Linked DNA regions of Macaca mulatta. The protein of the gene in region 2 purifies or fractionates together with the protein of the main gene of each other region. This does not show direct contact. Links are inferred from orthologs where the notes say so. Each region holds a gene or a part of one and is shown on either strand. Other genes may lie near its edges.

Region 1 (7,212 bases), on a different chromosome or scaffold from region 2:
TGCTTCTTTACACATTTCACTCTCAGTTTTGTTGTTTTGCTTCTTAACAGGAATTTGTAATCAGCATATATTGCATTTCTTTTATAGTTTTATGACCTTTGTGAACTGTTCAGAACTGGAGGTCAGGTTCCTGACACAAACTACATATTTATGGTATGTAAACACCACTGATATCAAGTGCTTGTTTAACATGGAAAGGATCTGACTTATTAAATGTAAATTGCATAATAATTTTTTGCCATGTGACAGTCCCCATTTCAGTATATGAAAAGGTGTGTATTAGTCCATTTTCATGCTGCTGATAAAGACATACCCGAGACTGGGCAAGTATAAAAGAAAGAGGTTTAATGGACTTACAGTTTCACATGGCTGGAGAGGCCTCATAATCATGCAGAAGGCAGGCAGGACCAAGTCACATCTTACATGGATGGCAGCAGGCAAAGAGAGAGAGAGAGACTGTGCAGAGAACTCTTGTTTTTAAAACCATCAGATCTCACGAGACTTACTATCATGAGAACAGCACAGGAAAGACTTGCCCCCATGGTTCAATTACTTCCCACCGAGTCCCTCCCACAACATATGGGAGTTCAAGATGAGATTTGGGTGGGGACACAGCCAAACCATATCAAAGTGATTGTGTACTTTTCTACATTTAACTATGTCCTCTAATTAATTGCCTTAGTAAGCCACTGTAGATAGGGTTGGGTAATAGCTATCAGTAATGAGTGGGCATAAAAATAACCCAGAACCCCTGGTTTAAGGCATAAATCTTCAATTGACTATTATTTATTCAAACTTTTCGAGCATTCATTTTTATCTCTTGTTAATCTATGGATGGATGAATATACATACCTACACATTTGCTATTAAGGTAGATGTTTGCTTTTCTTTTGGAATGTAGTGTTACTGTTGAACTTTTTCTGGATCCTTCTCTCATTATCTTTCCTTCTGAAAGTTTCTGGGTCACTTTCCTATTTTTTTTTTTTTTTTTTTTTGAAATGGAGTCTCGCTCTGTTGCCAGGTTGGAGTGCAGGTGTGATCAGCTTATTGCTACCTCTGCCTTCCGGGTTCAAGTGATTCTCTTGCCTCAGCCTCCTGAGTAGCTGGGATTACAGGCGCGTGCCACCATGCCCAGCTAATTTTTGTATTTTTACTAGAGACGGGGTTTCACCATGTTGGCCAGGATGGTCAGGATCTCTTGACCTCCTAATCTGCTGGCCTCGGCCTCCCAAGGTGCTGGGATTATAGACATGAGCCACCGCACTTGGCCACTTTTCTTTCAGTTGTTTTCCTATTGGTGTAATATTGGCCCAAGTCAGATATTAATGGGAAGTGTAAATAGTATATTATCATATATGGTTGTTAAATGCAAAACTGAACCTAGAATGCTGTTATAATTATGGTATTTGTTTTTACAAAAAAATTTTTTTTCTTCAAGTAGGCAGCTCTTCCAATACAGTTAAAATGATTTCTTAAAATAGAAAATTATTTTATCTGGGCATGGTGGTGCACACCTGTAGTCCCAGCTACTTGGAGGCTGAGGTGGGATGATTGTTTAGGCTCAGGAGTTCTAGACCAACCTGGGCAACATAGTGAGACCCCCATCTCTAAAAAAAAAAAAAAAAATTGAATTTTTAAAAATTAAATTACTTAAAAAATACTGGTTAACAGATGACCAAATCAACTAATGCAGGTAATAGAGGATTGAAAAAAATGGTTTTGCCAGGTATGGTGGCTCACACCTATAATCCCAGCACTTTGGGAGGCCGAGGTGGGCAGATCACAAGGTCAGGAGTTTCAGACCAGCCTGACCAACATGGTGAAACCCCTGTCTCTGCTAAAAATAGAAAAATTAGCCAGGTGTGGTGTCGGTGTGCGCCTGTAATCCCAGCTACTCAGGAGGCTGAGGCAGGAGAATCACTTGAACCCAGGAGGTGGAGGTTGCAGTGAGCCGAGATTGCGCAACTGCACTCCAGCCTGGGTGACAGAGTGATACTCTGTCTGGAAAAAAAAAAAGCGAGAAAATGGTGGTTTTTCAGGGAAAGTTCTTGAGAGAATGGCACAGCAGATTCTTGTAGGTTTCCCTGGAGTCCAAAATCTTGTTTCTATAAACATTTAATAGAAACAGTTTGTTTACTTCTATTTTAATTTTTGTTAAAATCAAATTTCCAAATATTTCAGTATGTAACTTTTTATTGTAGTTATGAACCATGAGTTTGTGCAGTTTGATGTAATTTGAAAAGAATATTGTGGCTATTGTATTGTTTGTAACTGTACACTTTTACTTCACAGGGTGATTTTGTAGACAGAGGTTACTATAGTTTGGAGACCTTCACTTACCTTCTTGCATTAAAGGCTAAATGGCCTGATCGTATTACACTTTTGCGAGGAAATCATGAGAGTAGACAGATAACACAGGTCTATGGATTTTATGGTAAGAACTCCTATTTCTCTGATTCTGAATATTATTTTACTTTCCTCTTTGGAAAACAAAGCTACACAAGTCATACACATGCTTTATGTATATTATTTTCCCCACATCCTCACTCCTTCACTCCTCCCCAACAATTGAAAATCTTATGCTGGAGAGATTACTGTTAACTTTTTGGTGTGCATCTTTCTAGATCTGTGCCTCAAAGTGTAGTCCTTAGTTTATCTTGCTGGAATCACCTGGGTTCTCATTAAAAATGTAGATTGTGGGCTGGATGGGGTGGCTCACACCTGTAATCACAGCACTTTGGGAGGCTGAGGCAGGCGGATCACAAGGTCAGGAGATCGAGACCATCCTGGCCAATATGGTGAAACCCCGTCTCTTCTAAAAATACAAAAATGAGCTGGGCGTGGTGGTGCATGCATGTAATCCCAGTTACTCGGGAGGCTGAGGCAGGACAGTCGCTTGAACCAAGGAGTCGGAGGTTATGGTGAGCCAAGATCACGCCATAGCACTCCAGCCTGGCGACATAGTGAGCCTCCGTCTCAAAAAAACAAAACAAAACAAAACAAAAATGTAGATTGCTGGGCCTCACCACAGATTTATTAATCAAAATATTTTGGAGTGGGAATCTAGAATCTGCTGAAGGTGAATGTTCTGCACAAATTGGAGAGTCCATTCTCATCTATTTTGTGTGTGTGTGTATTTATGTGTGTTTATATATGTACAAACACACACTAAAATGGGGTCATACCTGATTTTTTGACTTTATTGTCATGTTTATAGCTGCATCATATACCATATGGATGTACCATAATTGATGTATCAGTTTTTTCTCTATCATTAGACTTTAGAGTTGTTTTTAAGCTGCTATTACACATCCTTTTACATATATCTCTGTATGCTCACTCCAGAGAATGCTAGGACCTCAGGGATCAGAAGCAGAACTTAGTCATAAAAAGCAAAATAGGCCAGGCGCAGTGGCTCACCCCTGTAATCCCAGCACTTTGGGAGGCCGAGGCGGGTGGATCACCTGAGGTCAGGAGTTTGAGACCAGTCTGACCAACTAAACCCCGTCTCTACTGAAAATACAAAAGTTAGCCGGGCATGGTGGTGGGGGCCTGTAATCCCAGCTACTTGGGAGGCTGAGGCAGGGAGAATTGATTGAACCCAGGAGGTGGAGGTTGCAGTGAGCCAAGATTGCGCCATTGCACTCCAGTCTGGGCAACTGAGCGAGACTATGTCTCAAGAAAGAAAAAAAAGCAAAATAGCTACTTCTCTAAAACTTTTATTTGGTTGAAAGTTACAGAGAGAGAGAGAGAGAGCGCTTATTAGGAACCCCCTTGAAGGAAATATAATTATCAAGATTATGAATTTGGATTTTCCTTGAGCACAATTAAGGCAGATATTGAGAGATTTGGAAACATTAATTGCAGAACCCTTTAGTTTTAAATTTTATATTTTGAATTATCTTCTGTCATTATAAAGATAGGCTGGGCTGGGCGTGTTGGCTCATGCCTGTAATCCCAGCACTTTAGGAGGCCGAGGCAGGCAGATCATGATGTCAGGAGATTGAGACCATCCTGTCTAACATGGTGAAACCGCGTCTCTACAAAAAATACAAAAATTAGCTGGGCATGGTGGCGCTTGCCTGTAGTCCCAGCTACTCGGGAGGCTGAGGCAGGAGAATCACTTGAACCTGGGAGGTGGAGGTTGCAGTGAGCTGAGATTGTGCCATTGCACTCCAGCCTGGGTGACAGAGCGAGACTCTGTCTCAAAACAAAAGAAAACAAAGATACTCTGAACTCTCTTACTCTTCAGTTTGTCTGCCATTATCAATTAGAGAAATTTTGATAATTGTTTTTATATAATTTTTTAAATACTTGTAAAGTTAGATAATATTTGTCTCCTTTCTTTTTTCTTTTTTTTTTTTTTGAGGCGGAGTCTCGCTCTGTCGCCCAGGCTGGAGTGCAGTGGCCCGATCTTGGCTCACTGCAAGCTCCGCCTCCCGGATTTATGCCATTCTCCTGCCTCGGCCTCCCGAGTAGCTGGGACTACAGGCGCCCGCCACCTCGCCCGGCTAGTTTTTTGTATTTTTTAGTAGAGACGGGGTTTCACTGTGTTAGCCAGGCTGGTCTCGATCTCCTGACCTCGTGATCCGCCCATCTCGGCCTTCCAAAGTGCTGGGATTACAGGCTTGAGCCACCGCGCCCGGCCTATTTGTCTCCTTTCTACAAGTTACTTCTTATTTTCGTTTACAAAACAAACACCAATTGAAATACAACTTTTGGATCAATATTTTAGATACCATACTATGATATTAGCTCAGTGAAGATACTAAAACTAATGTTATCAAAACACACACACCTACTATATATATGTAACTAATGCTACATGCATAATATATAAAACGCATATTGTTATATATGACTAATATATGACATATGTTTTTTATATGTGACTGTTTTTATATATACAGTTATACTCCAGAATTCGCCCAGTTTTCATCAATGTAGGGCTAAAGGGGAAAAAAATGGGGTGAGGAAGGAGGACATTTTAATCAAGGTGCCTTGACTGAGGAAAATGACAGCAACACAAAATCTAGTATTGAACTTTCTTGTTCCCAGAGCTCTGTTCTTGTAGTGGTGTTGTATGGTTTTGTTTAATAAAATGAAGCTTAACAGCTCCTCGGGAATAAGATAATTTTAGTTATTATAAGACTTACATTGATTTTAAAGGAATAAGATATCCCTATATAACTTTACACTGGGCCTTCAGTTCAACACATGCTGGGGCCGGGCGCGGTGGCTCACGCCTGTAATCCCAGCACTTTGGGAGGCCGAGGCGGGCGGATCACAAGGTCAGGAGATCGAGACCACGGTGAAACCCCGTCTCTACTAAAAATACAAAAAATTAGCCGGGCGCGGTTGTGGGCGCCTGTAGTCCCAGCTACTCGGGAGGCTGAGGCAGGAGAATGGCGTGAACCCGGGAGGCGGAGCTTGCAGTGAGCCGAGATCGCGCCACTGCACTCCAGCCTGGGCGACAGAGCGAGACTCCGTCTCAAAAAAAAACAAAAAAACAAAAAAACAAAAAACACATGCTGGGCAGTTACTATAGAGCCAAGCTCAAGATCCCTGCCTGCAACCTGAGCTCATTGTTAGGGCTCTCTTATGCCAAGTTTACATAACAATCTTGCTTCACATAGATATATAATTGAGAAAATCTTGGGGAGTGGTCATAACCTGCAGACTTCTTTCCTATATCATTTTCAGCTTCACTTAAGGCAATAATGGTATGTCAGGTTTTTTTTTTTCTAAAATTATGGAAGAAGTCAAAGTGCAGAGCTTCCATGGTGTTAACAGAAGAAGTGTGTACCCTATTAACTATGTAGACAGTCAGGGTATAGTGGCTCACACCTGTAATCTCAGCACTGTGGGAGGCTGAGGTAGGAGGATTGCTTGAGCTCAAGAGTTCAAGACCAGCCTGGACAACATAGGGGGACCCCCATTTCTACCAGAAATAAGATTAGTCAGGTGTGGTGGCACATGCCTGTAGTTCCAGCTATTCGGAAGGCTGAGGTGGTAGGATCGCTTGAGCCCAAGTGGTTGAGGTTACAGTGAGCTGTGATCTTGCCACTGCTGATTGCGCCACTGTATTCCGACTTGGGCGACAGAGTGAGACCTTATCTCAAAAACAAAAAGCTATGGAGGCAGCAGGAAGAGTGTTCAACTGGGAATTTGTAAGAACCTGACTGGCAGTCTGTCCTCAGTTGTGATCCACTGAAGCTCAAGTGTTTAGTTGGACAATTTGCAGAAAATCTCAGAAGAGACAACTTGGCCCTGAGAAGAGTTAGGAATTGCTCATGTTCCTATAACTAAGGGTCCTCTAATTTGTTTGATCTGATTATCCTGCTAGAATGGTCTCCTTAAATAAATTTATCTGTTTACCAGAATTACCTAATATTAACATAACTGTAAAAACATTTGCTTCAGGTTGTGTGAAATTTGTATTTGACTCTTCTAATGATAGCATTTTGGTTAATAATTTCAGCTGCTTCTTAGGTCCATTCCAGGAATGAAGAGCAGTACTACATCCTTAGGAAATACAGTCATGTGCCACATAATGACATTTCAGTCGATGATGGACTGTATATACAACAGTGGTCCCGTAGATATAACGCAGTTGAAAAATTCCTATTGCACAAATACTTACCCTTGTGTTACTATTTCCTTACGATATTTAGTACAGTGACATGCTTCACAAGTTTATAGCCTAGAAGCAATAGGCTATATCATATTGCTTAGGTGTGTAGTAGGCTAGACCATCTGGGTTAGTAAGGATATGTGATGATGTTCACACAATGACAAAATCACCTAACAATGCATTTTTCAGAATGTATCCCCATGATTAAGGGACATATAACTGTATATAGTTAATCACTAGTGTTCTTTTGGCTCTATGTGGAGGTCCTAGTAGGACTAAATATGTGTCGTATCTTGCTGTCCTAGTTTAAGCTGAATTTCTGTTATACTGAAAGCTGCTCTAGTATTGGATATATTGTTTATTTTTATTGGCAGATTCATTAATTAAAACCCTTCTGTTTCTTTCACAGATGAGTGCCAAACCAAATATGGAAATGCTAATGCCTGGAGATACTGTACCAAAGTTTTTGACATGCTCACAGTAGCAGCTGTAAGTTTCTATTTTTAAAGTCTCATGTATGTTCCTGCCAATAACACATTGCATATTTTTATCTAGTTGTCATCTCAATTATGTTGATA
Region 2 (7,212 bases):
TGGGGATAGTGGACCCAGACCCTCATGGGGAGACAGGGCCTGAGGCCTCTCAGTGCACAGTGTCCAGCCTCTACTCGCATGCCCTGCACACAGTCCACACTGGGGACTTCACCAGGCCCGAGGCCTCAGGTGTGAAGTGACCCCCCGGACCTCAGGCGAGGCGGCCTGGAGGCTGGAGGCTGGAGGTGGGGAAGAGGGGTGGGCTCGAGGGCAGCTGTAGGAGCCTGGTACTCAGTGGGAGCCTTATTAAGCATGAGTGATGGAGGCACTGAGCCTGTGGGCAGTCCCAGGGTGGGGCTGGGCTCAGTGTGAGGGAGAGGGCTGGGTCTTGGGGAGAGGCTGTGCCCAAGGTGGGCACTCAGCCCCTGTGGTCAGCCCCTCGTCCAGCAGGGACTCCCCTGGGGCGTCTGACGCGGCGCTGGTTGTGTCCATGCCTGTAGGGCGCCATGTTTTGGAAGTTTGACCTGCACACAAGCTCACACCTGGACACGCTGCTGGAGCGGGAGGACCTGAGCCTGCCGGAGCTGCTGGACGAGGAAGACGTGCTGCAGGAGTGCAAGGTGGTCAACCGCAAGCTGCTGGACTTCCTGCTGCAGCCACCCCACCTGCAGGCCATGGTGGCCTGGGTCACCCAGGAGCCGCCCGCTAGCGGTGAGGAGCGGCTTCGCTACAAGTGAGTTCCCTCGCTCCTGGCCAGCCCGTCCCTATCAGCATCACACATACCTTCACTACGCAAGCCTCACAGCTACCCTGAAATGCGTCAGTATCAGTAAACTCCAGTTTGGGGATCAGGAAAGCGAGGCAGGGAGCAGCCAGGCCCCCCCTGCACAAGGCCTCACAGCTCACTGGGTGCAGACCAAGGAATGCAGTGGCATAGTCACAGGAGCCACAAAGTCATGGGCCCAAGCGATCCTCCCGCCTCAATCTCCCGAGTAGCTGGGACCACAAGTGTGTGACAACATGCCTGGCTGGGTTTTCTGTTTATTCGACGCTTTTTATTTTATTTATTTTTTATTAAAAAAATTTTTTGTGTGTTTGCGAGACGTTTGTCTGCTATTGAAGACATTTTAAGATTACTTATTTTTTGGCCGGGCGCGGTGGCTCAAGCCTGTAATCCCAGCACTTTGGGAGGCTGAGACGGGCGGATCATGAGGTCAGGAGATGGAGACCATCCTGGCTAACACGGTGAAACCCCATCTCTACTAAAAAAATACAAAAAACTAGCTGGGCGAGGTGGTGGCGCCTGTAGTCCCAGCTACTCGGGAGGCTGAGGCAGGAGAATGGCGTAAACCCGGGAGGCGGAGCCTGCAGTGAGCTGAGATCCGGCCACTGCACCCCAGCCTGGGTGACAGAGTGAGACTCTGACTCAAAAAAAAAAAAAAAGATTACTTATTTTTTAATCCAAGTGATACTCAAAAGACACTTTTTTTTTGTTTTTGGAGACTCACTGTGTCACCAGGTTGGAGTGCAGTGGCATGATTGTCTCACTGCAACCTCTGCCTCCCGGATTCAAGTGATTCTCCTGCCTCACCCTCCTCAGTAGCTGGGACTGTAAGTCACCACACCTGGCTAATTTTTGTATTTTTAGTAGAGACGGGGTTTCGCCATGTTGCCCAGGCTGGTCTCAAACTCCTGACCTCAAGTGATCTGCCTGCTTTGGCCTCCCAAGGGGCACCTCCGCACAGTCCTAGAGCAGATTGTGGTCCCTCAGGGCCTTGAATGGCTGCTGCTGGGGTGGCTCTTGTCTTGGAGCCGTCAGGCACCGTGTGAGAGTTTGGAGAAGGGAGGCAGGAGGTGGGGCTGGAAGCTGAGCAAGGTTCCAGGAGTCAGCGGAACTGGGGCAGTGTACGGGGCCGCGAGTGAAGCCGCTGAGTCAGAAGGGATGAGCGTTAGCTGTTGGGGGATTGGGAAGCACAGGAGCTTCAGGACCAGGCTTGTCTTGGGGGTGGTGAGGAGCCTGGGATGGGACGGCTGGGTGTTAGCAGGGTAGGGGAGGCCTGGTGTGGGCCCTTATTTCTGCGTCAGCCCTGTCCTCTGCCTTGTCATGCCCTTTCCCCTTCCGGGATGGGGTCTCTGCGGCCCCAGGAACCCAGTGCCCGGTGCAGAGAAGAGGGTAGAGCCTTGCCCCCTACCCCAACCTGAGCCCCCACCCACCTGTGCTTGCCTCCCAGGTACCCCAGTGTGGCCTGCGAGATTCTGACCTCAGACGTACCGCAGATCAATGACGCCCTGGGTGCTGATGAGTCCCTCCTGAACCGGCTCTACGGCTTCCTGCAGAGCACCGGCAGCCTCAATCCGCTGCTGGCCAGCTTCTTCAGCAAGGTCATGGGCATCCTCATCAACCGCAAGACGGACCAGGTGCCCTGGCCCCCACCCTGATGCCACGTGGGGTTGGGGGTGGCGGCCGGGCCAGGCCCTGTGCATGACGCAGCCCATGCGTCCCCAGCTTGTGTCCTTTCTGCGGAAGAAGGATGACTTCGTGGACCTGCTGCTGCGGCACATCGGCACCTCGGCCATCATGGACCTGCTGCTGCGCCTGCTTACCTGTGTGGAGCGGCCCCAGCTGAGGCAGGACGTTGTCAATGTGAGCAGGGCCGGCTCCTCTGGGGGTAGGGGGCTGGACACGGTGGATGGTGATGCAGCCCCCGCCTTCTCACCCTCAGTGGCTCAACGAGGAGAAGATCGTCCAGCGGCTGATTGAGCAGATCCACCCGTCGAAGGATGAGAATGTGAGTGCTGCCAGTGCCCCTGCAGCTTCCCCTTAGAGTCCGTTCCCCATGCCCAGCTCCCCGCTTTTAAAAGAGGAATTGGGGCTGGACGCGGTGGCTCGAGCCTGTAATTCCAGCACTTTGGGAGGGCGAAGTGGGAGGATTCTTGAGCCCATGCGTTTGAGACCAGCTTGGGCAACATAGTAACACCCATTTCTACATAAAAACTTACGTGTGTTGAGTGTGGTGGTGCACACCTGGAGTCCCTGCTACTTGGGAAGCTCAGGCAGGAGGATTGCTTGAGCTGGGAGGTCAAGGCTACAGTGAGTCATGATCACACCACTGCACTCCAGCCTGGGTGACAGACCCCGTCTCAAAAAAGGAAAAAAAAAAATTGGTGAGAAAAGAGAGCCTTGAGAACCAGGTATATCCATGCCCTTTGAGAAAAGGAAGGAAACTTGACTCAAATGATTCTCCCACCTTGGCCTCCGAAAGTGCTAGAAAGGTTTTTTTCATGACCCAGGAACTTGGCACATAATGCCTTGTAGGGAGGGGCCCTCCTCATCACCTGTCCCAGCCCTGGCCCCACATCCTTCCCTGCCCACCCTGACCTGTGCTGTTGCTGGGCCTGGCAGCTTTTTCCCTGTCTCCTGCCTGATTGAACCCCTCCATGTCCTTCTAAGGGTCCATCCAGCAGCCTTGCTTTCAAGGACCCTCACATCCTCCCCTTTAGTTCTGGGGGGGGCCCCACATCCATGTGTTTCTCCAGCTTACGTCTCCATCTCTGTCCTGGTGTCCAGCACAGGGCCTAGTGTAGAGTAGGTGTTTGTCAAGAGCCTCCGACGTCCGAGGCCCCCGGGAGCAACGTGTCCCTCCCCATGCCAGCTGCTGCCTCTGAGAGGCGTACAGGCTTGCAGAGCAGAGATATGGCTCTGGGCTCACCCAGGCTAGGGCCTGTCCCTGTGAGGGCCCTGAGGCATGGCCCGGGAGCAACACAGCCGAGCCCTGGCGGCTGCCCGTTGGGTTAGACTCAGCTCTGCTTATGCTTTTCTCTTCTGTAGCAGCTTTACTGAGATATAAATTACACCGCATATGACGCACCCACTGAAGCTTACAGTTCAGTGCTTTTAGTGTATTCACAGCGTTGTTTATCATCTTGTTGAATTTAGATTATTTTTTATCACTCCAAAAAACAAGTCCTGCCTGTAATCCCAGCATTTTGGCAGGTGAGGCTGGAGGATCGCTTGAGCCCAGGAGTTTGAGACTAGCCTGGGCAACATAGCAAGACCTTGTCTCTACAAAAAATTTGAAACTTAGCTGGCATTGGTGGTGCACACCTGTAGTCCTAGCTCCTCAAGAGTCTGAGACAGGAGGATCTGTTGGGCCCAGGAGTTCAAGGCTGCAGTGAGCTACGATGATACCACTGCACTCCAGCCTGGGGTGATGTAGAGGCCGTATCTTTTTTTTTTTTTTAGACAGGGTCTTGCTCCGTTGCCCAGGCTGGAGTGCAGTAGTGTGATCCCAGGCTGGAGTGCAGTGGTGTGGTCCCAGGCTGGAGTGCAGTGGTGTGGTCTTGCCTCACTGCAGCCTTGACCCCCTGGGCTCAAGCGATCCTCCTGCCTCCGCCACATGAGTGGCTGGAACTACAGGCGCATACCAGCATTCCTGGCTAATTATTTTGTACTTGTAGAGATGGAGTTTTTGCCACGTTGCCCAGGCTGGTCTCAAACTCCTGGGCTCAAGTGATGCTCCCACCTCGGCCTTTCAAAGTGCTGGGATTATAGACATGTGCTGTCACACCCAGCTGAGACCTTTTCTCCAGAAAAAAGAAAAAAAAGATACCCTGTATTCATTAGCACCCCCTCCCAATTTTTCCCTTTCTCTTCTCAGCCCCTGGCAACCACCAGACTATTCTGTCTCTGGATTTGTCTTTGGACATTTCATAAAATGGGATCATACACCATGTGGTCTGTGTCTGGTTTCTTTCACTAGCATGATGTTTTGTGGCTCATTCACGTGGTTGCGTGGATCAGTTTCACTGGTTTTGTGGCTCATTCACGTGGTTGCGTGGATCAGTTTCACTGTTTTTGTGCTCATTCACGTGGTTGTGTGGATCAGTTTCACTGTCTTTGTGGCTCATTCACGTGGTTGCGTGGATCAGTTACACTCCTTTTTTTGGCTGATTAGCCCTCCCCTGTGCGGACAGACCAGTTTGGGCATACCCACTCGTCAGTCGAAGCTGTCTGGGTCGTTGCGGGCAGTGCTGCCGGCCCTGTGTGCGAGCTCGTGGGCCTTCTGTGGATGCCTCCTGTCCTGGGGAGCCTTCCTGGGTTCCTGTTCTCTCCACCATTTTCCCTCTAGCAATTGGTGCTTCTGTGCCCCCTTCTTCTTTTTTTTTTTTTTTGAGACGGAGTCTCGCTCTGCCGCCCAGGCTGGAGTGCAGTGGCCGGATCTCAGCTCACTGCAAGCTCCGCCTCATGGGTTCACACCATTCTCCTGCCTCAGCCTCCCGAGTAGCTGGGACTACAGGCACCCGCCACCGCGCCCGGCTAGTTTTTTTTGTATTTTTTTTTTTAGTAGAGACGGGGTTTCACCGTGTTAGCCAGGATGGTCTCGATCTCCTGACCTCGTGATCCGCCCGCCTCGGCCTCCCAAAGTGCTGGGATTACAGGCTTGAGCCACCGCGCCCGGCCTGTGCCCCCTTCTTCTTAACGCGTGTCCCTGTGTCTGGGTGACCGTTTTTCCCTGGATGGTCAGCTCGGGGGCGGGGCTTCCAGCACCAGGCTGCAGAGGGCCCGGTGGCCCACCCAGGATCCTCACCTCTCTCTCCCCATCCCAGCAACATTCCAACGCGTCCCAGTCCCTGTGTGACATCGTCCGCCTGAGCCGGGAGCAGATGATCCAAGTCCAGGACAGCCCGGAGCCTGACCAGCTGCTGGCCACCCTGGAGAAGTGGGTGTGCGGGCGAAGCTAAGGCTGGGGGGAGCTGACTTGGGGATGCCCTGGGCCCCTGGCCCCTCACCCTGACCCCCGCCCCCACCCCCATAGGCAGGAGACGATTGAGCAGCTCTTAAGCAACATGTTCGAGGTGGAGCAGAGCCAGTCTGTCATCGTCAGTGGGATCCAGGTGCTGCTGACCCTGCTGGAGCCCAGGAGGCCGAGGTGAGGGATATGAGCCGCAGACCGTGCATGCTGCCCATCCCCTGGGGCTCTCTGGCCCCTCAGAGGCGGGTCTCGGTGTCCACCAAGTGAAACTGCCGCCTCCAAGTGGCGCCTTGCTCTGGTGGCTGCTTGTGCTCCCTGTGCAGTGGACAGTATGGGCCCAAGGGAGGAATCTTCCTGTCTTGTTTGACAAATGAGGGCGCTGAGGCTGAGGCCACTGCTGCAGCTTGTGTTGGGAGGGACCTCAGGCCCCCGTGCCCCTGCCTTACCATAAAGGCCTCTAGCTTGTTGGGTGTGCCTTCCCGCCCTCATCCCTCACCGGTGCCCCCACAGTGGACTGCCAATGCTGCCACCTGGCGAGCTCCCCACCCCACCCCAGCCAGGTGTAGTCTGAAGGGCCTCAGAAGAGAGCAGCGCCGGGGGCATGTGGCTCCTCGTCTTCCTCCAGACCCTGCAGACTCGGTCCTTGCGCCTGCTGTCGTGTGGGCACGCAGGCCGTCTAGGCTCACTCTGCCTTTGACCCTGCCCTGCTGCAGGTCCGAGTCCATGACTGTGAACAACTTCTTCAGCAGTGTGGATGGGCAGCTGGAGCTCCTGGCCCAGGGAGCCCTGGAAAGCACTGTGTCCAGTGTGGGCGCCTTGCACGCCCTGCGCCCGCGGCTCAGCTGCTTCCACCAGCTCCTGCTGGAGCCTCCCAAGGTCAGGGGCGGGGGTTGTGGTCCTTGGGGAGGCGGGGGAAGCAGGAAGCGCAGCCCTTGGGAACCAGGGCTCCCTGTATCTGCAGCTGGAGCCGCTACAGATGACGTGGGGCATGCTGGCTCCGCCTCTGGGCAACACGCGGCTGCACGTGGTCAAGCTCCTGGCCAGCGCCCTGAGCGCCAATGATGCAGCCCTGACGCAGGAGCTCCTGGCACTGGACGTGCCCAACACCATGCTGGTGCGGGACTGGACTGGGCTAGGGGCTTAGGGGCTGGGGTGGGACCGGACTGAGCTAGGGGCTCGGGGGCTGGGGGCTCAGGGGCTGGGGTGGGGACCGGACTGGGCTGGGGGCTCGGGGGCTGGGGGTTAAGGGGCTGGGGTGGGACCGGACTGAGCTAGGGGCTCGGGGGCTGGGGGCTCAGGGGCTGGGGTGGGGACCGGACTGGGCTGGGGGCTCGGGGGCTGGGGGTTAAGCGGTTGGGGTGGGGACTGGACTGGGCTAGGGGCTCGGGGGCTGGGAGTTAAGGGGCTGGGGTGGGGACTGGACTGGGCTAGGGGCTCGGGGGCTGGGCGTTAAGGGGCTGGGGTGGGGACCGGACTGAGCTAGGGGCTCGGGGGCTGGGGGGGGACCGGACTGAGCTAG
Region 3 (7,212 bases), on a different chromosome or scaffold from region 2:
GGTAGTTTCATATTAATTTTGCATATTGTGTCAAAGTTTTGGTGCAATGTAAATTTCACCTGAAATGTTATTAGATAAATTTCGGTTCAATCACTTAAGTGAAAATTAGTCACAGGCTTGTTATAGAGAACACTGTGTTAAACAAAATACGCAAGTTCAATTTTTCAATTCATCTGGCAACTTTAACAGAGATCCTCAGAAAGAAGTTCTGGATATTTAAATGCTTACTATAGAGAGGATATAAATAGTTGGACTCTCTAAAGAGATTATTACAGGCATTATTTCTAAAGATGAACACCTTTACCTTTGGCTTCTAGTGAGGAAGTAAACATCAAAGTGAGAAGAGGTTTGAGGCATTTCCTATCTGCCTCTTCCCTTCCCTCCCAGGGGACATGAATGTCACACTGATATACTTCTGAGAATTCACTGCTAAATACATGAAAAGAAAAATTATTCATAGCGAACAGCTGCCTCTCTGTTGCATTATCCCCAAAGAACAGGAATTAAATACATCTTTTATTCTTTACTTAAAATGAGAGGTAGACTTCCATAGAAGTATCTTAAAGAAGATGTGAAACAAAACAAAACTGGGGCCATCTGTGTGAGTGTTCCACCCAACAGCCTCACTGCCCGCCTCGATTAATTCCTTCTCTACTAGCTTCTGGAAGCCCAGGCCCCAAATAATACTTGAACACACATAAACCTGGAATTCAAGCTTCTTTCCTTTCCTCCAACACAGGTGATCAAAGGAAAGCTTCTACAGTCCAAAGTCAAAACGTTTCCGAATCAGAATCATTTTCATTGTACCCATCCTCCGAGCCTACGTTGTTACTGCACAGGCTAACCATGCTACCCAGATTGGAGAGGGTCGTCCTGCTCAAATTGTCTTTTTTTAAACAAACGAAGTTGACAGCCGTCATTGTACTGGAAGGAGAAAAAGGCATCATGGTAGCCAAAATGAGGGCCAGGCAGTCAGCCACGTCTTTGTTAGGAGCGCAAGCCAGGGCCGGGGTATGACCTGGGCGTAAATGCAGACAAGGCAGTGGTTAGTTCTGGGGAGTCTAGAGGAGGCACGAGCATTCCACAGTACATCTCAGATGACCTCACAGGCGGAGATGTATGTTGAGTTAGAAATCATGCCAGGTAAAAGGAGGAGTTACTTCTCACAAGTCATGCTAGGGGTGAGGCTAGACGGGGAGGGAGGGAAGACATTTTATGGAGGGCTTTTTATTTTTGTTTTCAGCTCATATGACTACGACAAGCACGATATTATCCAATGTTAGGCAGGATTCCAGCCTTCATTTAGTGAACACAAACATGAGGGGGTGGGTGTGGGACACAATTTCACAATAAACAGCAACAGGACAATCAGGAAGATGTTTCCGCCTGACAGCACACACACACCATGAGCCTCAGGCCTGGGCCTGAGAAGGACTCTCATTCTGAGAACAATGACTTTCTATTGTTAGGTAATTGTGTGTCCAATTAGAAAAGATATGGAAAATTAGATGACTGCAAAAGTGAGTAATGAAGTTTTGTCACTTTATATATGTTTCATAGAAAGTAGACACCAATAACTGGTTTTAGAAAAATGGAATCATTTCAGTAGATCAGACACAGGAAAGCACTGGTTGTTTATGATTAAAAATTTACAATCATTTAGGAGAAATTTAACAAAAACATTTTTTTTGATAGGGTTTCACTCTGTTGCCCAGGCTGGATTGTAGTGGCATGGGCCTTGATCTCACTACAGTCTTGTCTTTCGGACTCACGCAATCCTCTCACCTCAGCCTCCCGAATAGCTGGGACTGTAGGTGTGTGCCACTACTCCCAGCTGATTTTTTTTTTTTAATATTTTTTATTTGAGTCGAGGTCTTGCTATATTTCCCAGGCTGTTCTCAAACTCCTGGGGTCAAGCGATCCTCCCACTTTGGCTTCCCAAAGTCCTGGGATTATAGGCATAAGCCATCACACCTGGCCTAATAGAGTACTTAAAAATGGCCACTCACCAACCAAAGTCCCAAATCTAAAATGTAATGGATGTGAGAAAATTACTGTGCTTGTCATAATTAGAACCATGTTATTCTCATTTAGACTCAATGGGTCCAGCCCAGATAAGAAAACTGTCTTAACTCATAATACAGGTTCTTTGGGGAAGTAGATTAAGTCTTTGACTTGATTATTTCCCTTATCCAACCTTTATTCTACTGGCCTGAAAAGGGTTAGCTGCCTTCTCGGCTGGTCAAAGTTTCCACTACACAGTGAGTAGGGCACTTGCTCAGTAATTCAGAGGAATAGCTCACTAAAACTTCACGTTTGTTGTTTTGTTTATCATCACTCGACCTGCTCTCCCCACCCTGCTCTTTAGTACATCATTCATTTTTCTGGTATGAACACAAATAAGAATGAACAGGTAGTTTAACATTTCATTCCACAAAAGTCAGTGATGAGTAAAGGAATCGTGGTTGTACTGCTGTATAAAATGGCCCCAAACGTTCCCAGGCCTTTGGGATGCAGGTATGCACCAACCCAGGGCTCTTGTTCCTAAGGTCACTATCAGCTGAACAAACCTTCAGTGCAGCAGATTTACACCAGGAAAAGCAAAACTAATTTATTCTATTCTCTTTGACCATTTTGGAGAAAAACTGTGGGCCTCTGCAGGCCGACCCTAAGTCTACAGTGGCGTTAAGAGGGTGTGGGAAGGTGAGGCAGGAAAACCAAGGAGATGGAGTAATAGGGAACTTTCTGCACTTCCTAGATGAGTCAGGTGGGGGACAGAGCAGGGTACATGCTAGGATAAATGGGGCTGGAAAATCAAAACTAATAAGAGTTAGCTACTGATGCCAGTATGGCTGCTTACTTCTGAGAAACAGGCATGAGCTGCTAATCCCAACACCTGTAACAAGCAGTTGATTGAGTTACATTAATACATTATAATACTTTAATTAAATGCCACATTTTAAAAATTACAGAATTCATAAATATCCAGAAGTTCCTTTTTTGCTCCCCAAGGTTAATAGGCGTTGTGCTTAAAATGGCAGCTTAGTGCAATTCTAGTAGCCATTCTTTTCAAAATGTCTTAGGAAGCAGAGTAGAAAGCTTCTGTTAAGAATTAGTTCATTAGGAAAGGAACACTATGCAGATCGGGGGAAGCTTCAAGCCTAGACACTGATTAAGAAATTTTACTCTTGTTCCTCAAATTTCCATACTTGGAATATGAGTTCTGATCTGTACTTAAAGAAAAAAAAAAAGTTTGATCTCAGAATGAACTTAAATACAATCAAAAATCTAGGTTTTCATTTGAGCCCTTGAGCATGCACTAATGACATGTGTAATCCCTAACTCTTCAGCATCTGCAGTTAAAATTTTGAGTGTCAACCTGAAACTCTTTTAGTGTGTCTAAAATATTTTAACCACTGTGCTGAGGAGTTAGAGACCAGCTGCTGGCATTGCATGCAAAATGGACAGCACTGGGTGGGCTACAGGTAGACTATGTGATTTACAAAAAGACAGACAGGACCAGTTATCCTTGCTTGATTTCTCCCACATGGGACTTCCAAGGGGGACAGAATTCTTAACCGCTTTTTAAACTAGCACCTATCTTTCTCATTTTCCTCTGGCTTCGACTAGCTTATGGAAAGTACCTGCAGTCACTGTTCACTTTTTCCACTTACCATTTTCATCTACAGCAAGTACACAGGCCCCTTTGGCCAGCAACTCCTCAACTACCACCTTCAAGCCATTGCGTGCAGCAACGTGGAGGGGTCTAAAAAACACAAGACCGAGCATCAGTTGTGATACATACTTGGGTGAGAATGTGGAATTCTGGTTAGCCCATGTCGCTAAAAGGAAGTACTTAGACTCTGCAAATAGTACATGGATGTTTTTACTTAAGAAAAAAAAAAAATTGCTGCCCAGATCTTTTCCAGGTGCTAATGGTCCAACTGTTGTTGTATGTTTGGCCCAGATCTTGCTGCAGATATTACAAACATTCTGCATCTCAAACAATCTCAATGGCAGTAAACAGGAAGACAGAGGAAGAACTCAAGCTTTGCTGTTTTTTGCAGAAGGCCCTTTACTGCTTGATTTCTAACACAGCATTTGAATCACTGTTTCACACAGTTCAATAATATGACTGGCATTAATGCCACCCATATATATGTATAATTTCAACCCTCCTTGTTACTACAAAATGCACACAAATGTTTTAGTGAATTTATAATACCTTAAAGAATTATGTCAAACTCAGTATATTGTGCTTATATACTGCTTAAGAATCTTTTTTTTTTTTTTGAGACAGGGTCTCACTCTGTCACCCAGGCTGGAGTGCAGTGGCATGATCACAGCTCACTGCAGCCTTGACCTTCTGCTGGGCTCAAGTGATTCTCCTGCCTCAGTCTCCTGAGTAGCTGGGACTACAGGTGCAAACCACCGTGGCTGGCTAATTTTTTTATTTTTTGTAGAGAAGGAGTTTTATCATGTTGGCCAGGCTGGTCTCAAACTGCTAGGCCCAAGTGATCTGCCTGTCTGAGCCTCCCAAAGTGCCAGGATTACGGGCATGAGCCACCACACCCAATTTTTTGTTTGTTTGTTTGTTTGGAGACAGAGTCTTGATCTTGTTGCCCAGGCTGGAGTGCAGTGGCGCGGTCTCAGCTCAGTGCAAACTCTGCCTCCCAGGCTCAAGTGATTCTCCGGCCTCAGCCTCCCAAGTAGCTGAGATTACAGGCACCCACCATTACGCCCAGCTAATTTTTTTGGTGGTGGTGTATTTTTTAGTAGAGATGGGGTTTCACCATGTTGGCCAGGCTGGTCATGAACTCCTGGCCTCAAGTAATCCACCTGCCTCAGCCTCCCAAAGTGTTGGGATTACAGGCATGAGCCACCACGCCCTGCTTAAGAATCTTAAATGAAAAAAATTCCTTTGCCTTTAAAACAAATGCATAAATAATTTCCTAAAGCAGAAAATGAAACAGCTTTTAGATCTTTCACACCAAGGGTTACACTGAATTATATTAAAATATAATCAAGACAAATAGCTTAGAAACTCTTCAAATGTATTCTGGGAACCTGATTTGTAAAACTGTCATTTTCTAGTCAGAATACATAATGCTAATACATAATACAAATAGCTTCCCCAAATATGTCAGTCCATAAGATTTTTCTAACAGCCCACTAAATTTATAATATTACCCCAGAAATATCAGCAAAGAAAAACACAGACTTCACAAAATTCTATGAAGACATATCAAAAGAAGGATTCTAACTAAAACTGCCTAGCTTGGTCAGCACTTGTAGGTATGTGACTGTCACCTTCATGCAGGGGAAGCCAGGTCTGCATCTTTCACCACTGTGCCCCCCAGAGCTAGTCTGGCACACAGCAGGCTCTTAATATTTATTGAATAAATGACTATGACCCTGGGTTCAAGTCCAACTTTAGTGGTTACACTTACGTCTGCAGTGCATTATTTTTTGCATTAATAAGGCTCTCGTCTTGTATCTTGTCAAGTATTAACAAGGCACATTTTTCATGACCCTAATAAAGAAAAAGAATGATAAGAAATACAGGACAGAGACACAGAAAAGTTACTGTGAAATTTCTTCATTATGATTTAAATTGAAAATGAATTTCCTCTGCCTAACAACATTCTATAGAGCTATTTTCTGAGTAATTTTTTTTTCTTCTCAATAGGGAATGGGCTCCAGACACTCTAAGAGTCCTAATAGGGTCTATTAGAACTTGGTTAACATAAGCCTGATCTAAAATATTAATGCTGCTAAGATAAATTTTAAAATTAATCCCCAGAGAGGTAAAGCAGATGCTAGTTTAGCTAGGCCAGCTGGTAAGTAGGGAATAGAATTCGGAATATTGTCTGAATCCTACAACATTTAACATACATCAAAAGTCCCACCTCCTATTTCAAGACATCAGTTACTACTTCAATTATCCATTTATCCTTGGAATTCCCATTACATCTATTATCCATATCATTCATCATCATTAATTGCCTTATACTGTGAAGAAACCCTATTTCAGGAAAACTCATTCTTTTCTTCCTCGACCAGTGGAAGATCTCTCTCTGTACCTTATGAAAATAGATGGTTAATAATCTTTGAAAATCAACTGAGGAGTCAGAGACCCTTTCACAATTTTCTTCCTAAGCCCTTGCTGACAAACATGTGGCCTGCAGAGCAGTCATATTAGTATTACTGGGAGTTAGAACTGCTGAATCTCAAGCTCTGCCCCAGACCTAATAAATCAGAATCTGTTTTTTCACAGATCTCCTAGGTGATTCATTTGCATGATAAAGTTTGAAAAGCATTGCACTTATATTCACCAAAATACTATACCTTGAAATAAACTTCATAAAGCTGAGCACTTTTTGTGGTTCCCATGGGCTTCCCAGAGCATGAAGTGAGAAAATGCAAGCAATGAAAGGAATGTCTGAGACTTCTGGTACCATATAGGTAACACTGATAATATTTTAACTACACTGAAATAAATCACCGCCATGGGTGCTAACTGGCGTCATACTATAATGCCTTATATGGGAGACCGTTAAATATAATTTTAGAAATGTCCATGGAGGTTTCATTCTGATGCACTGCTGTTGGAGGGTAAACTGTTGTGACCTCATAAGAGGGCAAGTTGGTCTAAAAATATTTATATCTGGCAGGCTGCGGTGGCTCACGCTTGTAATCCTAGCACTTTGGGGTGCCAAGGCGGGCAGATCATGAGGTCAGGAGTTCGAGACCAGCCTGGCCAGCATGGTGAAACTCTGTCTCTCACAAAAAATATAAAAATTAGCCGGGCATGGTGGCGCGTGCCTGTAGTCCCAGCTACTCGGGCTGCTGAGGCAGGAGAATCTTTTGAACTTGGGAGGCGGAGGTTGCAGTGGGCCAAGATGGCACCACTGCATTCCAGCCTGGGCAACAGAGTGAGATTCCGTCTCAAAAAAAAAAAAAAAAAAAAAAAAGTATATCATTAGACTCAATAATTCCACACTTAGGAATTTATCTTAAAGTAATGAGTAAGGTTGTTTATAAAAGATTCCTCTGCAATAAGCATTATTTATATAGGTTGAGCATACCAAATTCGAAAATCTGAAACAAAAAATGCTACAAAATCCAAAACTTTTTGAATATTGACATAACACTAAGATTTCTGGATTTGGGATAATCAACAGGTATAATACAAATATTCCAAAATCCAAA
Region 4 (7,775 bases), on a different chromosome or scaffold from region 2:
TAAGAAATGGTCATGAGAGAAAAGGCCTAAAGGCAATCATAAAAGTTGTTGTCAAAAACCTCTGTATCACTGAAGACAATGTTAGAGTCACTCTCAAGAAAGGACTACTGATGAATGAGCTGATGCTCTCAACGACTCTGAATATTTTTTAAATTTAGGATAAATTAATTAAATATAACATAAAAGTAATGTTAGCTGTAATAAACTTTGTTATGATGGAGAAATTGGCCCTGGTAAATGGAATTACAGTTCAAACTTTCTAACCAAGGTAGTATTTGTCAGTACTATTAAAATAAAACCAAAACAACAAGAAAACCTTAGGAGTTAAATGGAACAGAAAACATGTTTTCCACCTTTTCGTGCATCTATATACCCTTTTTGCTATTTTCTTAGAAATGCACACTCTTCAGTATACCCTGGGTAAAGTGACCAGACACTCCATTTAAAACAAACCATGGCCAGGCGCAGTGCCTCACGCCTATAATCCCAGCACTTTGGGAGGCCAAGGCGGGCGGATCACCTGAGATCAGGAGTTTGAGACCAGCCTGGCCAACATGGTGAATGAAACTCTGTCTCTACTCAAAACACAAAAATTAGTTGGGCGTGGTGGCAGGTGCCTGTAGTCCCAGCCACTCGGGAGGCCGAGGCAGGAGAATCGCTTGAACCTGGGAGGTAGAGGTTGCAGTGAGCTATCATGCCACTGCACTCCAGCTGGGCAACAGAGCCAGACTCTGTCTCTAAATACATACATACATACATATGTCCTGAATTAGGTGCATGTTTCCAACTAAATATAAACTTGAAGTCAATTCACTTAGAAAAAGCTTTAAAAAATATATAATGACAGCATTCTGTTCATTACCCAATGTTAAAATTAACAACAGTTTTAGCCAATGCCTCAAATCTATTCAGATAATCCATTGTTTTAAAAATAAGCTAAAACCTTTTTGTATCTACCTAAGTGGTCACAGCAGTATTGTATCAAGAAAAAAAAAAGGAGGAAAGATGAGAGTTAAAAATGAGCTTGCAACGGGTGCTTTCTTAAAACCCCAATCATTTCTAGGTCGTCTGTTTCGGTGTTGCCACAGCGACTTTGTGAATCATATGACTTTTCACTCCCTCCATAACTCAGGGGTACATTTGTTTCTGGTAAAAATATATACATTAGTGGATGTAATTTTGTTAGAGTACATAATGTACTTTCAGCTACAATTTAGTAAACTACATACTGGCCACTGAAAAAACATACAGAGAGAAAATTATCCGTATATCCACTCTTTCTAAAACTGTCCATCATGTCAGCAGTGAATATACTACTGTATCTTTAAGTCTGAAAACTTTTCGAACAATGACTTTACCGAAAACCTAATCTGACAAAAATTAATCAACCATCATCATAAAACACTCACCATGATTATTTACAAAAAGCAAATCTGATCTTATATTTAGATATACACTTAAAAGAATCCTCATTTGAAATGCACAGTTAAGTATTTAATGGTGAAGTATCATGATTTCTGCAACTTACTACATATACATGTAAAAGATGTATATCAATAAAGCAAATATGGCAAAATGTTATCAATGCCAAACATAAGTGAAAGGTATATGGGTAGTCAGAGTGTTTTTTTTAACTTTCCTGTGTTTAAAAAATTTCAAAGTAAAAAGCTGGGAGAACAAAAGACCCCTACTGGCTATTACTGCCCTGAGTGTATGTCCAGTGTTTTCCCTTTTGCCTCAATACCTTCCTGCCCTCATTTAAAACAACTGTTACAGAGTTATATTATGTCTTATAAACAAAAATCACAATTCTAGGAAATAATTTTAATAAGTAGTTTTAAAGGCTGGCATCAGTGAATTAACTGTTTTACCTGAAAGTTAACATCTTCTTTCTTAAATATTAGTGCTCGAACTTCATCAGGATCTCCGTTAAATATAGCTTGCACCAGTGATGGCTAAAATATAAGAGAGTAATAAAAACATTAGAATCATCCATGTGGGGTGACTAAGGATATTACATAGTTTCTGAATCTACAAGTTTTCTTCCCTGTAGCAATAATCACTTTCGACATTAGCCAGAAGTTTCATAAAACCAAATCATGTCAAAGTACAGGATTTCTACTTGGAAAAAAAAAGCCTAATTAAAAAAAAAAAAAAATGAATTCAGTTTGACCCAATTTAGGTAGTATAATAAACACAATCAGATTTTATTTCATTTCTTATAAGTAGAAGCCTTTGTTTCTGTATATGACAAAAAGAAAGACTCTTCCAAATACAAATGTGTGATCTCAACACCTACTTGTGGGACAGAACTTGTTAAGCAATTTCCAGCCCATGAAGTAAGGCTCTTTTGAAAAGGTCTGTTTGGGGCATCAAATTATCTTACATGGATTAGCACTACAGGTACAAAGATACAAATCCCAAGAAAGCAAACCTGGCAGTTGATGAAAATAGCCACTAATCAAAGACCAAAAAATACTGGATACTTAAATAACTTGAAAAGACAAACACATGCATAACTAAGTATAATGATTTCTTAACGACACAGACTCTTGATAAGGTATACTATACTAGTCAAGGAGCCAGCTGACAGTAGCACTAAAACCAAGGTTAAAGATGAAGACTGAATCTCATACAAAGTCTTGCATGTAAATACATAAAATTCATTACAGAAAAAGCCATGCTTTGGTATTGCTAGGGGTAGTCAACCTTTCCTAAAATATGTAGAGTTCCTGATTCTTGTTACATCAGTTTCTGAAACCACAAAATGAAAACAGAAACGTGGTTGCCATAACTACTAATTCTTAAATTATTTTTAAACAGTCTTTTTAAGAGATTAAGACATAGTAAAGACTGAAATGTTATTCGAAAAAGTAAAAATGAAATGTGCATTTTATACAAAAATATTATTGCATCATATTTACACATATATTTCTTTAATTTGGGTTTGTAAAGAAACTATTGGAAATCTACATCTACTCTTAAAAAACAAGATTTATACTACTAGTTCAGTAGAATATAGTAAACATATAAACTTACATATCTTACCAATACATTTCCAGAAGGTGGAGAATGTAGGGATTTATTTTCCTGTGGCAATTTAGAAATGAATGCAGGAGACTCATCTTCTACCTCCTCCAAAACAACAATACACACTCGACTCATTCGATCTTTTAAAACACTAAATTCCAAGCTATGTGATAAAAGTCACAGTTGGAAGAGCACAAGTAGTTTTTCCTCCTCTTCTGTACAACACTTACAAACATTCTCCGAACAGCACAACTGTTTTTTTTTTTTTTTAAGTTAATAAGTACTACTGGAAAAACAAGTTTAAAATTATGACTACATAATTTGTAACTTCCTAAATATAACAAAATTCTATTATTTCTGTTGGGTTACTGCAATACTTAAGAAGAAATTTCACACCAACATATCAATAACTAAAACTGAGTCCAAGCTCATTTAAAAATATTTTTCCTCTACCAAAAGAGTCTTATTGCTCTATCTCTGAAATTTACTTCCACAAAACAATCATTGTTTTTGGTGACACACCACCACACAATATAGAATGAAATGAGAAACAACTGCTATGACGGCGATGATCACAGCAATACCCACTGTTTCCTGCAAGGTCATAGAGTTACCAGTAGCTGTTTTGCTTATAATTGAAAATAAAAAATAAAATCTCACTATTCTGTTTCCACTTCTAATTTGTCTTCATTTCTTCATCACTGGTTTAATGCAGATACTATTCACAGAAAAAAAGATCTAGAGCTCAGCACAAATCCTGAAAATGAAGCTCAGAGGTTAACAATTCTTTCAGTGTTTGGGAAAGGGGCGAAAAAAAGAAAAAACAAAACCACTCTGCATTAATAGCAAAGCTGCAGTACATTTACATGTGATGAGTCAGATCACAAGAGACAATACGACTCTTGGTACTAGAATACAGCTTGATTAATCCAGATTTCCCATATAATAGAAGAAACACAGTTAGCTTTATTTCCATCGATAGTATAAGCAAGGCAGAGCATTCATTCTTTCTCCATCAGGCAGTTGTCTGTGGCTGCTCCAGCAAAAGGGCACAGGCACCAGGCAGAAATGGTGTTAGTGGAGAATCCTAATAGAACAAGCAGGCTGTGAAGGAATTAGAAGGCATTTGAGCTCAAATTACTGCTGCAGGCTTTTTGTTTTCTTAAAAAAAAAAAAAAAAGAGGGAGAAAAAAAAAACATAGTAGTTTATCATTCCAGTGTTTCCTTTGATCTCCACATGAATACAGCTTCCATTAAACAGTCTTCATTCAGAGGAAAAAACAGCAGACTGTGCATCTTCTTTGAGCCAACTACTTTATTCAATCATCTGCCTCTTTGCCAATATAGTTTCCTTCCACTGTGAAAACCGCTACAGTTATCCTTTTCAGATTTCAAATGCTTTCTTGTTCCTCAGATGATCTTGCAAAACACCGCTGACATCCCCAAATGAGTAGGTCCTTAAAAAATATCTATAGAACCTCAGTATCAGTCCCACAGAAGCATTCCAATGGAGCAACAGTCTGAAGAGCAAAGACTGCAGACCCGCAGGATGAAATGCCTAGTAATGCTCACATGTTACACTTACCAGAGATCTGAGCTACTGCTCGGGATGTAGCTTCCTCTAGCAGGAGAAAAAAATAGTGCATTTGGACAGCCTTCACAATTAGAAGGTTCATGCCAGTTCTGTGACTAATCCAGATCAAACTAAAAAATTCTATAACTGAAAAATGAGTGCGCTTTTAACATTTTCCACTAAAAGCCACAAGGAAATCTGGTGTACTGCCTCTGCTGACTAACAGTGGTTTTAGCAAGTAAACAATTCCTAACGGCTTAACTGCTTTCGTGTGTTACAATAAAGCAAATGTTTAACCCTATGATGACAGTTGCAGTAAGAATATGCCTGCAATGGACTCATAAAAGTTTAAAGATGGAGAAATATTTTATAAGATTATAAAAACCATGAAATAGTTTTATTCATATTTTTACCAAGATCAGTTTTAATCTGCCAGATGTATTTTATTTTCTAGAATGCAAAGTTTAAACAAATGAAATTTAAGATTGTCTAACAATTTCTAAATTGGTGAATTTAATCAATCATTGATTCATATTTTAAAGGGAAAAGCAAACATTTCATAATGTAGAAATCCTAACCTAAAATGATATAAATCATTTGATTTTTCACTGAAGAAATAAAATAATCCTACCTTCCCATTTGGATAGGGAATAAAGCCTTAAAAATCTGTTAAAGAGGTACATTAAGAAAAAAAAAAAGGCCTTCGTCCTGAATCACCTATGTCAAAAGGGTACAGGGTAATGCAAATAATCTCCCTCCCTATAAATTTCCCAAAGTCACAAATGTCAAAACCAATCATTTGTTTTTTTTTTTTTTTTCTTCTTTCTCTGTTTACCCAACATGGGGGATATCTCTCAAGATAAAACTTACAAAGAAAATACCATGGTCCCCCTTCAATCTGTGTTTTTCATATTAACTAGTATTTTTATTAATAAACATACTTTTGAACATCTGTGATATGCTATGTGCTGCACATTCTCATTTAATACAATAATCTTGCTATATTCCCATTATAGAGGGAAAAATGGACTCAGAAATGATGTATTTTACCCAAAGTTGTGTAAATTAATAAAGCTGTATATAATTTCAAACACATACTCTTTCTAATCTATTCTGCTATGCTATCACTGAGTACACACACATACAGACACACTCTCACCACTCATCTCCAGAACTTTGCAACCTATAATACTAGCTTATAAAAGTGATCTTAACAAACAGGTAACCTATAAAGGTTGTGAAAAGTTTAGATAACAAAGGAATATAATATTTATTGCTATATTCTAAAACAAGTTATTTCCAAATGAGTACTTCAAAGCAAGTCTTATAACCATAAAAAACCCAGCATGATACAGATAATATAAGAATGTCAGAAATTAAAACAAGAACCATTGAAAGCTATAAAATATATCAATCTACGAAAGAAGCAATAACTAACATATTTGTACCAATTAAAATATGCTAACAATTCACTATATTTTAAAATATATAAAATACTTTTAAGCCAAATTAAAGGTATGTAAATATTAAACATAAATTATGTTATTCATCTCCACATAGCTGAATCAAAAATACCTTAATATTTGAAATACCTGAAAGCGAAACAACTATAGTAATAATATCCTATATTTCATCTTCAGGGTTCTCAGGCCCCCAAAGCAAAATCTCTTTTTATCTTAACAAGCTTAACTTGTTCCAAAGTATCTAGTACCTCAGTTCACCTACTTAGACTTAAGCAGGTATATCCTGTTTCTTGTTTTACGTCAACCTCCATACTTAGGTCTTTTCCAACCAGAAAGCAAACTCCTTGAAGGTAGGGACTGTGTTACACACATATTGTTTCCTTCCACCTATAAATAATTCCACTGTAATGAATTCTAACATCACAAGACTCTGGAAGGGTGGGAGATTTATAAACAAGAATAGTGGGGGTGTGTTGGTATACATATATTTTAACCAGAAAATATAGGAGGCATTAAGGTGCAACAAAGTGAGTTTCATATCTTTAATAAGTGAACAATTAAAATTTCAGAAGCTGATGGGATACAACACAAAGGTATGGGGTGATGGTTAAAACTAAGGGCTCAGGAGTCATTCCACCTGAAGTTCAATTCTGATTCCATCATTTCCTAGCTGTGTCCTTGGGCAAACTACTTAAATTCCCTGAGCCTAAATTTCTTGACACTTACATAAGAAAAATAATAACCTGTAGAGATTTTTATCTAGGAGAAATAGAGTAATAGTATGGTGCTTGAGAATGTAGGCTATTTTGTAGTCAAATTGTCTGAAGTTCTAATCCAGGCTTCCCGCTAACCTAATTCTGGGATCCTGGGCTACTCATTTAGTAACCTCTCTGTGTTCATTTTAACATCTATTAAATGACATTAACAGAATTTACTTCATAGTGTTGTGAAATCTAAACAAGATAACCTTATTGTTATGGATATTTGGGATAGCTGAATGATATCTCTTGTGAAGCCAGTGAGTGGATCAAAGGCTATTAAACTCCTCCTCCCCTCGACCCAGTACAAATGAGGTAATTCAGACTAAAGTCTAGAGATCCCATTCAGTTGCTAGGTCCCCAAACATTTCAGTGGTCTCTTGAGAGTCTGCTGAAAGGTCGTTTGAGACTCTAGTAACTAGACAAGCACATACTAAGTGTTAACTGGGGAGAGGGAGCAGTAAACTTAGGCGAGAAAGACTACCAGGTTCTTCCATTCTTCTACCTTCACTAGATTTTACAGTTTAGGGACTGTAAAATTCCTTTGGGAAAAAGGATAGGAAGTACTAGCCCAGGTATATTATAAAATCAAAAGCAAATAAAAAATACACAGAGAAATATGTCAGTTTTTAAATTATTTAAATTAGCAGTAGTTTTGTGTCTTCTATTGAATAAGACAGGCTCCTACCCTCAAGGAACTCACATCTTACAGGAAAAGGAGACAAGTGAATATTTAAGAAATTCAAAACAGAGAAGTACTTCTGATAAAAAAAAAATGACTGATAAAGATTGTGCAAACTAAGTTCAACTTTTTCCACTTAGAGAAATATCAAGGGGATGTGGTTGTTTTCTTTGGTACTTATTTTTTAGGCCTTAAATTAAGTTTTTAATAAGCTAACAAGTTCAACTCTGACAGCTTTATAATCCTTCTATTCTTTATACTAAAATGTA

What was found.
Region 1: the proteins of PPP6R1 (region 2) and PPP6C purify together in Homo sapiens (affinity purification with mass spectrometry; 11 studies listed by BioGRID and IntAct, with this or other methods). This does not show direct contact. The link is inferred for Macaca mulatta from reciprocal best matches to the Homo sapiens genes PPP6R1 and PPP6C.
Region 3: the proteins of PPP6R1 (region 2) and ANKRD44 purify together in Homo sapiens (co-immunoprecipitation; 5 studies listed by BioGRID and IntAct, counting the BioPlex papers as one, with this or other methods). This does not show direct contact. The link is inferred for Macaca mulatta from reciprocal best matches to the Homo sapiens genes PPP6R1 and ANKRD44.
Region 4: the proteins of PPP6R1 (region 2) and ANKRD28 purify together in Homo sapiens (co-immunoprecipitation; 4 studies listed by BioGRID and IntAct, with this or other methods). This does not show direct contact. The link is inferred for Macaca mulatta from reciprocal best matches to the Homo sapiens genes PPP6R1 and ANKRD28.

The regions. Positions count from the first base shown.
Region 1 is NC_133420.1:22,610,272-22,617,483, forward strand, and holds part of PPP6C (serine/threonine-protein phosphatase 6 catalytic subunit), read left to right. Parts: intron 1-87; coding exon 88-153; intron 154-2,292; coding exon 2,293-2,434; intron 2,435-7,043; coding exon 7,044-7,123; intron 7,124-7,212.
Region 2 is NC_133424.1:67,571,404-67,578,615, reverse strand, and holds part of PPP6R1 (serine/threonine-protein phosphatase 6 regulatory subunit 1), read left to right. Parts: intron 1-440; coding exon 441-673; exon of another isoform or gene 674-763; intron 764-1,447; exon of another isoform or gene 1,448-1,551; intron 1,552-2,117; exon of another isoform or gene 2,118-2,171; coding exon 2,172-2,358; intron 2,359-2,446; coding exon 2,447-2,584; intron 2,585-2,663; coding exon 2,664-2,729; intron 2,730-5,547; coding exon 5,548-5,660; intron 5,661-5,756; coding exon 5,757-5,870; intron 5,871-6,406; coding exon 6,407-6,569; intron 6,570-6,654; coding exon 6,655-6,807; intron 6,808-7,212. UniProt on the Homo sapiens protein: Regulatory subunit of protein phosphatase 6 (PP6). May function as a scaffolding PP6 subunit. Involved in the PP6-mediated dephosphorylation of NFKBIE opposing its degradation in response to TNF-alpha.
Region 3 is NC_133417.1:101,931,925-101,939,136, forward strand, and holds part of ANKRD44 (serine/threonine-protein phosphatase 6 regulatory ankyrin repeat subunit B), read right to left. Parts: intron 5,534-7,212; coding exon 5,451-5,533; intron 3,767-5,450; coding exon 3,675-3,766; intron 1,019-3,674; coding exon 771-1,018; 3' UTR 1-770. UniProt on the Homo sapiens protein: Putative regulatory subunit of protein phosphatase 6 (PP6) that may be involved in the recognition of phosphoprotein substrates.
Region 4 is NC_133407.1:32,693,058-32,700,832, reverse strand, and holds the start of ANKRD28 (serine/threonine-protein phosphatase 6 regulatory ankyrin repeat subunit A), read right to left. Parts: upstream 4,625-7,775; 5' UTR 3,166-4,624; coding exon 3,040-3,165; intron 1,956-3,039; coding exon 1,872-1,955; intron 1-1,871. UniProt on the Homo sapiens protein: Regulatory subunit of protein phosphatase 6 (PP6) that may be involved in the recognition of phosphoprotein substrates. Involved in the PP6-mediated dephosphorylation of NFKBIE opposing its degradation in response to TNF-alpha.